Linked DNA regions of Saccharomyces cerevisiae S288C. Each later gene encodes a partner of the first gene's protein in a complex. Each region holds a gene or a part of one and is shown on either strand. Other genes may lie near its edges. A codon is read from its position in the direction of its gene.

Region 1 (2,951 bases):
GTATTTGCAGAAGGATTCTGTTCACTTTGTTGGTACAAATGTTGATTCTACTTTCCCGCAAAAGGGTTATACATTTCCCGGTGCAGGCTCCATGATTGAATCATTGGCATTCTCATCTAATAGGAGGCCATCGTACTGTGGTAAGCCAAATCAAAATATGCTAAACAGCATTATATCGGCATTCAACCTGGATAGATCAAAGTGCTGTATGGTTGGTGACAGATTAAACACCGATATGAAATTCGGTGTTGAAGGTGGGTTAGGTGGCACACTACTCGTTTTGAGTGGTATTGAAACCGAAGAGAGAGCCTTGAAGATTTCGCACGATTATCCAAGACCTAAATTTTACATTGATAAACTTGGTGACATCTACACCTTAACCAATAATGAGTTATAGAGGAGCAATGCAAAATCTAGGGGTAGAATTACTTTTTGAAAAGGAAAAATATTCAGGTTTGTTGTTTTTATGTAAGTTGTATGATTTGATATACATATATATATATATATAATATATATTGTACATGTGTTTTTCCGGGGAAGAATGGATTATCCGGAGGTGTGAATAAAATGATGACGATTATAGGTTTGTGTTGTAATATTTAGATAACTCAATTCTCGCCAGTTTGAACTCCAACCTAGACTGGTTCAAAGCTTTTGCTATCAAGATGAGATATATGGAATTTTCGTCTTTATCGTCCACTTGTATCTTTATTTCCTCGTCATCTTCATCAATATTGATTCCATTAATAATCGATTTATCGCTCAGAGTGTTGACCAATTCGGTCTTGTTGGGGAAGAAATGTTCCATTTTTCTTCCCAAGTTTTGAATTCTTTCACAAACCCAGGCAATTCTTTGTAAGCCTAATGCAGCAGAAGAACCCTTTAAAAAATGGCCCAGATTGTCTAATTCGGTAAGATTTTTTTCACCGTCCAGCTGTCGTTGCATTTGAGCAAAAGTTGTTTGTGCCTGGTCGATAAATTGAATAATTAGACCTTTAGAAAAATCGGAATCATCGTCATCCATAGATATAATTTCATTTAAGATGGTCCAATTGATGATTTCTGAGGGAATAGTAGACATTATTGTGTGTATTTTCTTGTTTCCGAGAACGAGTGTTGTTATTTCTTTTGAATTTTTCAAAGAAATAAAACTATTACACGTCAGTGGTTATCAATGATCCAGAGCACAACTATCGACCAACCCAACCGGTTTAGAAATTAAAAACAATAATGTTCCTAAATATAGGTTCAATTAAATTTGATAAAAATATTAAACTTTTTATGTAATTTTTCTTCAGTTTTTCCGTTTCGGGCGGGTTACGGATGTATTGATGATTATGTGGCATAAACGAATTATATCTCCGGTATTCAATATGTAAAGTTCCGTTTCTATTTACCACTATTTAACGGAATTTTTGCTCCTTTGCCCTTCATGTCTTATGATAGGTTTTTTAGAAAGAAGCAGGGTCAACCTCTCGCTCTGACAAGGCAATACGCCGGTAGAGGATGAGGATGAAGAGGAGGATACGTTTTGTAAATCTCTTTCCATGACGTGCATCATTTTCTCAAACTTCTTGAACAAAAGCTCTGCTCTAACCATTAGGTCATTCCAATCCAACTTCCCGTTAAGTTCATTAAAAAATTTTAATATTTGGTCGAACTGATTTAGATGTTGTAAAATAGCTTGTGAGTTTTTCTGTAGAATGGCCAACATGAAGAATAATTGGAATTGTGAACTGTAGTAGAAAGTCCAGAAATTCTCCCAAATGTGCATAATATCTTCCATTTCAAATTCTCTCTTGAACCATACTAGAAGCATTCGAAAGCAAAAGAACAAGTTTCCTGAATCACACTTGTTTAAATGTTCGCTCAATTCGGGTAGCATTAATTGTACCAATTCCACGAGAGTTAACATTTGTTCATGGATGCCACTCTGGTCTCTTAGAAAATTTCTTTCCATAATGTCCATGAAGTGCGTAAAACACCAAAACGTTTTCCATTCTTCCTTCATGATGACATAAATAGGCGATAAAAGATCGGTCATCCCCTGCACGTAGCCTAAGTTTGTGTTGTAGACATTATAAGTGATAAGAATGTTTTGTAAATGTATCAAATGTGGGTTCCTGACTCCATCGTCTGCATCATCGCTCTCGTCATTAGCGGATTCGGGGCTGGTACTGTTATTTTCATTTGCTGGGAGTTGTTGTGGCGGTGGTGGTAATCCATCGATGGTATTGTATTGAAATATCTCCAAGTTTCTATCACAGCGTCTCACATCTTTAGATATTCTGAATAATTGATCGTTCCAATATTCCTCTTCATCTTCATCGTCAAATTGTAAAAAATCTTTTGACCAGGTTAGTTTCAATTGATCGTATTCCGCGGCTAAAGTTTGATCGATTTGTACCCTCTCGTCTTGAGAAGAATCCCACGGATATATTTCTAAGAGAAAACCCCAAACTTTCCCTCGCAAACTGTCATTTTCTAACCCACCATGAAATATGAAATCCTTAACTTCGTTTACCGTGACCCTCAGCCTCCCATCGTTCTCATCCCATAGCGAATTCCATTTCGCTTCCGTTAAAGGAAATTGTCTTTGCAGAGCATTATTTATTTCAGTATCACTTAATTCATCAGTTAGATTCAGGTCGTTGAAAATGTTATTCCTATACGAATCAAAGAGTTTGTTCTGCTTTTGATACCTCTCAGCTTCCTGTTTTACTCCTAATGACCAGTTTGCCAAATACACTCTTGCAGAGTCATAATCCTGTTCAATTTGTTTAACCTTCTCATTGTTCAGAAGCTTTTGCAAGTATTCATTGTCGATTTGTGATTTTTGTATGGGTGAGTTGTTAGTCAGCCAACTATCGATAAAATTGGTAGACTTGGTAGTCACGTCTGCTATCTTGCTCATTACGTTCCATTTCCATTCTTGGAATTTCTCGTTTAGT
Region 2 (4,478 bases), on another chromosome or scaffold:
TCGATGAAACTCACTTAAAGGAGCTATTTAACGAGGCTGTTACCCCTTTACCCGTTAACAAAATTAATAAGGGTTTCACACTCGTAAAGATGGGGTTTCCGACAAGGATATTCGAAGATACTCCAACTTTTTGTTCGTGCCATTCCAAGTTAGTTTACGGCGGATACTTCTGTCCCAATTGTCATAGTAAAGTTTGTTCATTGCCCACAGTCTGTCCATGTTGTGACTTGATGCTAATCCTTTCTACCCACCTGGCCAGATCATATCACCATCTGATGCCGTTAAAAACATTTGCAGAAGTACCTACAACAGAAAAATTTCGATCAGAAGACTGCTTTAGTTGCCAGTCAAGATTTCCCATACTGAAAAACCATAAAAATGGTAAACTACTGACAAGTTCTCGCTATCGTTGTGAAGATTGTAAACAAGAATTTTGTGTTGACTGCGATGTGTTCATCCATGAAATCCTTCATAACTGCCCAGGCTGTGAATCCAAGCCCGTAATAACTTAACGAAAATCTGTCAGCGTATAACACGATCACTCTTCCATCATATAACAAATCCAAGTAGTAGAGAACGAAATAGTTTTTGATGGACATATAACTACATAATTATTACAAAAATAACCTCATTTAATGTCCTATTGTTTATTACGAGAAAATCTTAATAGCACTTACGGCATTAAGAATATTTATTACTATTTTCAATTTATCAGGCACTTATTCAACTAAAAAAAAAAAAAAAATTCTTTGTTTTACAATAATATTAATAATTATTTTGAATAAATATCGTTACATTCTATCATAATGTCCTCTACACGGTACAACCAAACTCACAATTCTATTTGAGTGGGCGAGAGGTTTGAATTTTTTCTTACTGGGCTGTGTGTAGGGGTCATAGATGTCGCTTGTTTGAATGAGTGAGGGTTGGAAGGTGCAATAGGTTTCTGTGGAGATTTAACCAAAACACTGTCGGTCATCCGGCTTTCTCCCTGCTTCCAGCTGTCAAAATCAATCAAGGCTTGCATACATCCCCACTCTGTAATTTTCTTACTAAGCCAGTGTAAATTCACTGGTTTAGTCAGGTAGTCGTTACAACCAGAAAGAAGTGCTTTTCTTTTATCCATCTGAGAGTTAGATGCGGTCAATGCTACAATAATCACGGGCGCCTGAGAGAATCTCTTTGAAGTACCTTTTTCAAGATTGGAGTGTGAGTTATTGAGACTTTTTTGAATGCCAATGCCATTTTGTTTTTCGAAGTCCCTAATCTGCTTGGCAGCTTCTATACCAGACAAGACAGGCAGCTGTAAATCCATAAATATTAAATGAAGACCGCCTTCCTTCCAAATATTAACAGCTTCTTGACCATTTTTAGCCAGTTTATATGAGATTTTGTGTTTCCTCAGAAAGGAACCTAAGATAGCTTGGTTGATGACGTTGTCTTCAACTATTAAAACATTAATTTTGGGGAAAACTTTTTCACTTGTGGTGGTAAAAAGGTTTGGTAAAGGATCTGGTGGAGAGGAAACAGCAAAAGGTGCGTTATAAAGCGAGTTTGAGTAATGCGGCGTTTGACTACTTGTTAATATTGGTGATGCGGGCGTAACGTCTTCTTTTCTTCTTTGTACTTCCGACATGGGTTGCGTTATGCCTATACCAGCTTCATTAAGTGATCCGCTTTCTTGCGAAGGGGATCCGGTGTTCACTTCTAACTCTGAATGAGTAATTGTGTCTTCATTATTGAAAGATGAATCCGTGTGGGCCACTGGTTTATTTCGAAAATCTACCCCTCCTTTATAACCTTTTGGTAACAGCAAGATTGCTTGCCAAGGAGACTCGGCATCCTTTTCCTCATCCTTCAGTTCTTGTGACGCTCTTCTCAATTGCTCTTCATCAGTTATTAATTTAAATTCCTGAGGGCTGCTATTGCCATCTTTACCTTTAAGATCTGCTTTATCACCAATTGTTTGCTTAAGACCTTGTTCGCCCGGAGAAATATGGTCGTCTAGATGAAAAACACCAACGGCCCCATGGTCTGTTGGTTGAGTTTTCTGCTGCGAAATTTCTTCATTCGTAGGAACATAGTCTACAACATTTAAGATATCTAAAGGCGGTACATCCTGGCGTAAATTAACATTCGAAAATATCAGCAAAGGCTGCGATGCAGGTTGGGAACCCATGGTTCCGAATAGTTCCTTATATATGTTAATAGCCAATTCATCCGGTTCAAAGATGATTTTATAAGTGCAATCATTAACTGATTCTGTGGTAAAATTTAAACCTTTTCTAATCAACGGCCTTGTGTATTTATTTTTATTATGCGGTGAGACGTATGTAAGACCAGCTGATGCCATAATTTGATTATCAGAATGAAATTTAGGGTAGGGTGAGACTGAGGCAAATCGCAGTAACGGACTTTTAGTTGTTGCTGGAAACTGTTTAGGACTAGTAGAGTATGGTCTTTGCGGGCTTAGCATTGGCGCCTCGTTGGGAGGAAAATCCACATTGGTAGTCGCGGCCACTGTCGGCACGGCGGCAAAGGCGTCGTATAATGCTCCTCTTTTCTGCGTAGGTTTAGGATGCTGGAGAACATTCCTGTCCTTTGCAAGGTCTTTTGAAAGACCAAATGATCCTGCTGTGGGGCTCACTGAACTCTTGGTATTGCTATTAACGGAAAGGTTGGCGCCACTTCCAGCACCGTTACTCTTACTTCGACAACTATTATCGTTAGTGTTGTTACTACTGGTATTGTCGGCTTGATTGTCAAATTTAGGTGCGTAGAGGCCTATTGCAATGGAAGCATTATCGTTAATTTCTCGCCATCGAGTCGAACTCAGTTTCTGAAAAAACCTGCTCTTCAAATCATCAACAGTATCTATTTCATCGAACTGTACAGCAATTGGTTGGTTTACTTCATCAGTGGAGTTGTCTATTCGTAGCCAAACCTTCCACAGTAACGCAGAATTGAGCATTTTTACTTGTCTCCCCAAAATCGATTCGTTTTTGATTTACAGCAGCCTTTCCAATATTTCTTATACAAAACGGCCGAACTTGTACTCAAAATAAACGCTATTCTGAGGTCTAAAACTAACAAAACACGTAATTTTTCTGAATAAAACAATGTCTCCAACTAGTTAACCACAGCTTGGCTAGTTTCAATGTAGTCATTCCTAACAAAAAGGCAACCAGACCTATTTATAAATATATAGCCACTATTAAATTCACTAGAAAAAAAGTCAAAGATTCAATCCAGGGGCGCTTTTAGGGCTTCGGAAAGCTGAAAAAAATAGTTAGGACACTGATATCAATAATATAGGGAATTTGAATTATTGGAAAATGGAAATTAGGTTAAGGGATACCAAAAAAAGAAACGCGATAATTATAGGCATGGAGATGAGAATAATAACTATATATGTATGCGGTTCGGTACATATTCATTGCTGACTGAAGTCTGATAGTAGTCGTGGCGAATGGAGGTACATGAAGAGCAGGTCTCTGCACCTGTAACAGGGGATGCTACAGCAAAATATCTGCTGCAATATATCTTGTCAGCAAGAGGCATTTGCCATGAAAATGCTCTCATTCTAGCCCTAATGAGATTGGAAACCGATGCTTCAACGCTTAACACTGAATGGTCGATCCAGCAGTGGGTCGACAAGCTAAATGATTATATAAACGCTATAAACGTAAAACTGAACCTTTTGGGTTACAAGATCATTCGGATCAACCACGGGATTGGTAGAAACGCAGTGACTTTAAAGGCCAAGCAGAATTTTGAGTCCTTCGAAGATAATACAGCAATAAGGGCTCACAATAATGATTATGCAGTTTTGCAATCGATAGTACTTCCGGAGAGTAACAGGTTTTTCGTATATGTTAACTTAGCATCAACAGAAGAGACTAAGTTAGCCACAAGGTTTAACCAAAACGAGATCGAGTTTATGAAATGGGCCATAGAACAATTCATGATCAGTGGAGAGACTATCGTTGAAGGGCCTGCACTGGAAACCTCGATAATTGTGAAGGAAGTCAACCGTATTCTAGTAGCAGCTACAGGAGACTCAAACCTCGCGAAATGGCGTAAGTTCAGTACGTTTACTGTAGGGTCCACCAATCTTTTCCAATTTCAAGAATTAACAGCAACGGACATCGAAGACTTACTACTCCGATTATGCGAACTGAAATGGTTTTACAGGACTCAGGAAGGGAAATTCGGTATTGATCTTCGCTGTATAGCAGAACTAGAAGAGTATCTAACATCCATGTACAATTTGAACACTTGCCAAAATTGCCACAAGCTGGCAATTCAAGGTGTCAGGTGCGGCAACGAATCATGCCGAGAAGAGAATGAGGAAACTGGAGAGAATAGTCTGTCTCAAATTTGGCATGTTGATTGTTTCAAGCATTATATTACCCATGTAAGCAAGAATTGTGATCGTTGCGGTTCATCGCTAATCACAGAGGGCGTATACGTTATTT

The links.
Region 2: the proteins of YPD1 (region 1) and SSK1 are in contact, whole or in part, in a crystal structure (PDB 5KBX), measured with the Saccharomyces cerevisiae proteins. Residues at the interface, in NP_010046.1 of Saccharomyces cerevisiae: Ile13 (codon at 1,045), Glu16 (codon at 1,036), Ile17 (codon at 1,033), Ser19 (codon at 1,027), Met20 (codon at 1,024), Asp23 (codon at 1,015), Asp24 (codon at 1,012), Phe27 (codon at 1,003), Leu31 (codon at 991), Gln34 (codon at 982), Phe35 (codon at 979), Gln38 (codon at 970), His64 (codon at 892), Phe65 (codon at 889), Gly68 (codon at 880), Ser69 (codon at 877), Ala71 (codon at 871), Ala72 (codon at 868), Leu73 (codon at 865); in NP_013106.1 of Saccharomyces cerevisiae: Asp511 (codon at 1,441), Asn512 (codon at 1,438), Val513 (codon at 1,435), Ile514 (codon at 1,432), Asn515 (codon at 1,429), Ala517 (codon at 1,423), Ile518 (codon at 1,420), Ser521 (codon at 1,411), Phe522 (codon at 1,408), Arg524 (codon at 1,402), Lys525 (codon at 1,399), Gln556 (codon at 1,306), Pro633 (codon at 1,075), Val634 (codon at 1,072), Asn635 (codon at 1,069), Leu636 (codon at 1,066), His637 (codon at 1,063).

The regions. Positions count from the first base shown.
Region 1 is NC_001136.10:32,838-35,788, forward strand, and holds YPD1 (Ypd1p), read right to left. Parts: upstream 1,082-2,951; coding exon 578-1,081; downstream 1-577. Other genes in the region: PHO13 (4-nitrophenylphosphatase), read left to right, coding at 1-397; GTPase-activating protein GYP7, read right to left, coding at 1,400-2,951. UniProt on the Saccharomyces cerevisiae protein: Phosphorelay intermediate protein that is part of the branched SLN1-YPD1-SKN7/SSK1 two-component regulatory system, which controls activity of the HOG1 pathway and gene expression in response to changes in the osmolarity of the extracellular environment.
Region 2 is NC_001144.5:160,923-165,400, forward strand, and holds SSK1 (mitogen-activated protein kinase kinase kinase SSK1), read right to left. Parts: upstream 2,972-4,478; coding exon 833-2,971; downstream 1-832. Other genes in the region: TFIIH/NER complex subunit SSL1, read left to right, coding at 1-512; Smc5-Smc6 complex subunit NSE1, read left to right, coding at 3,470-4,478. UniProt on the Saccharomyces cerevisiae protein: Final receptor of the SLN1-YPD1-SSK1 two-component regulatory system, which controls activity of the HOG1 pathway in response to changes in the osmolarity of the extracellular environment.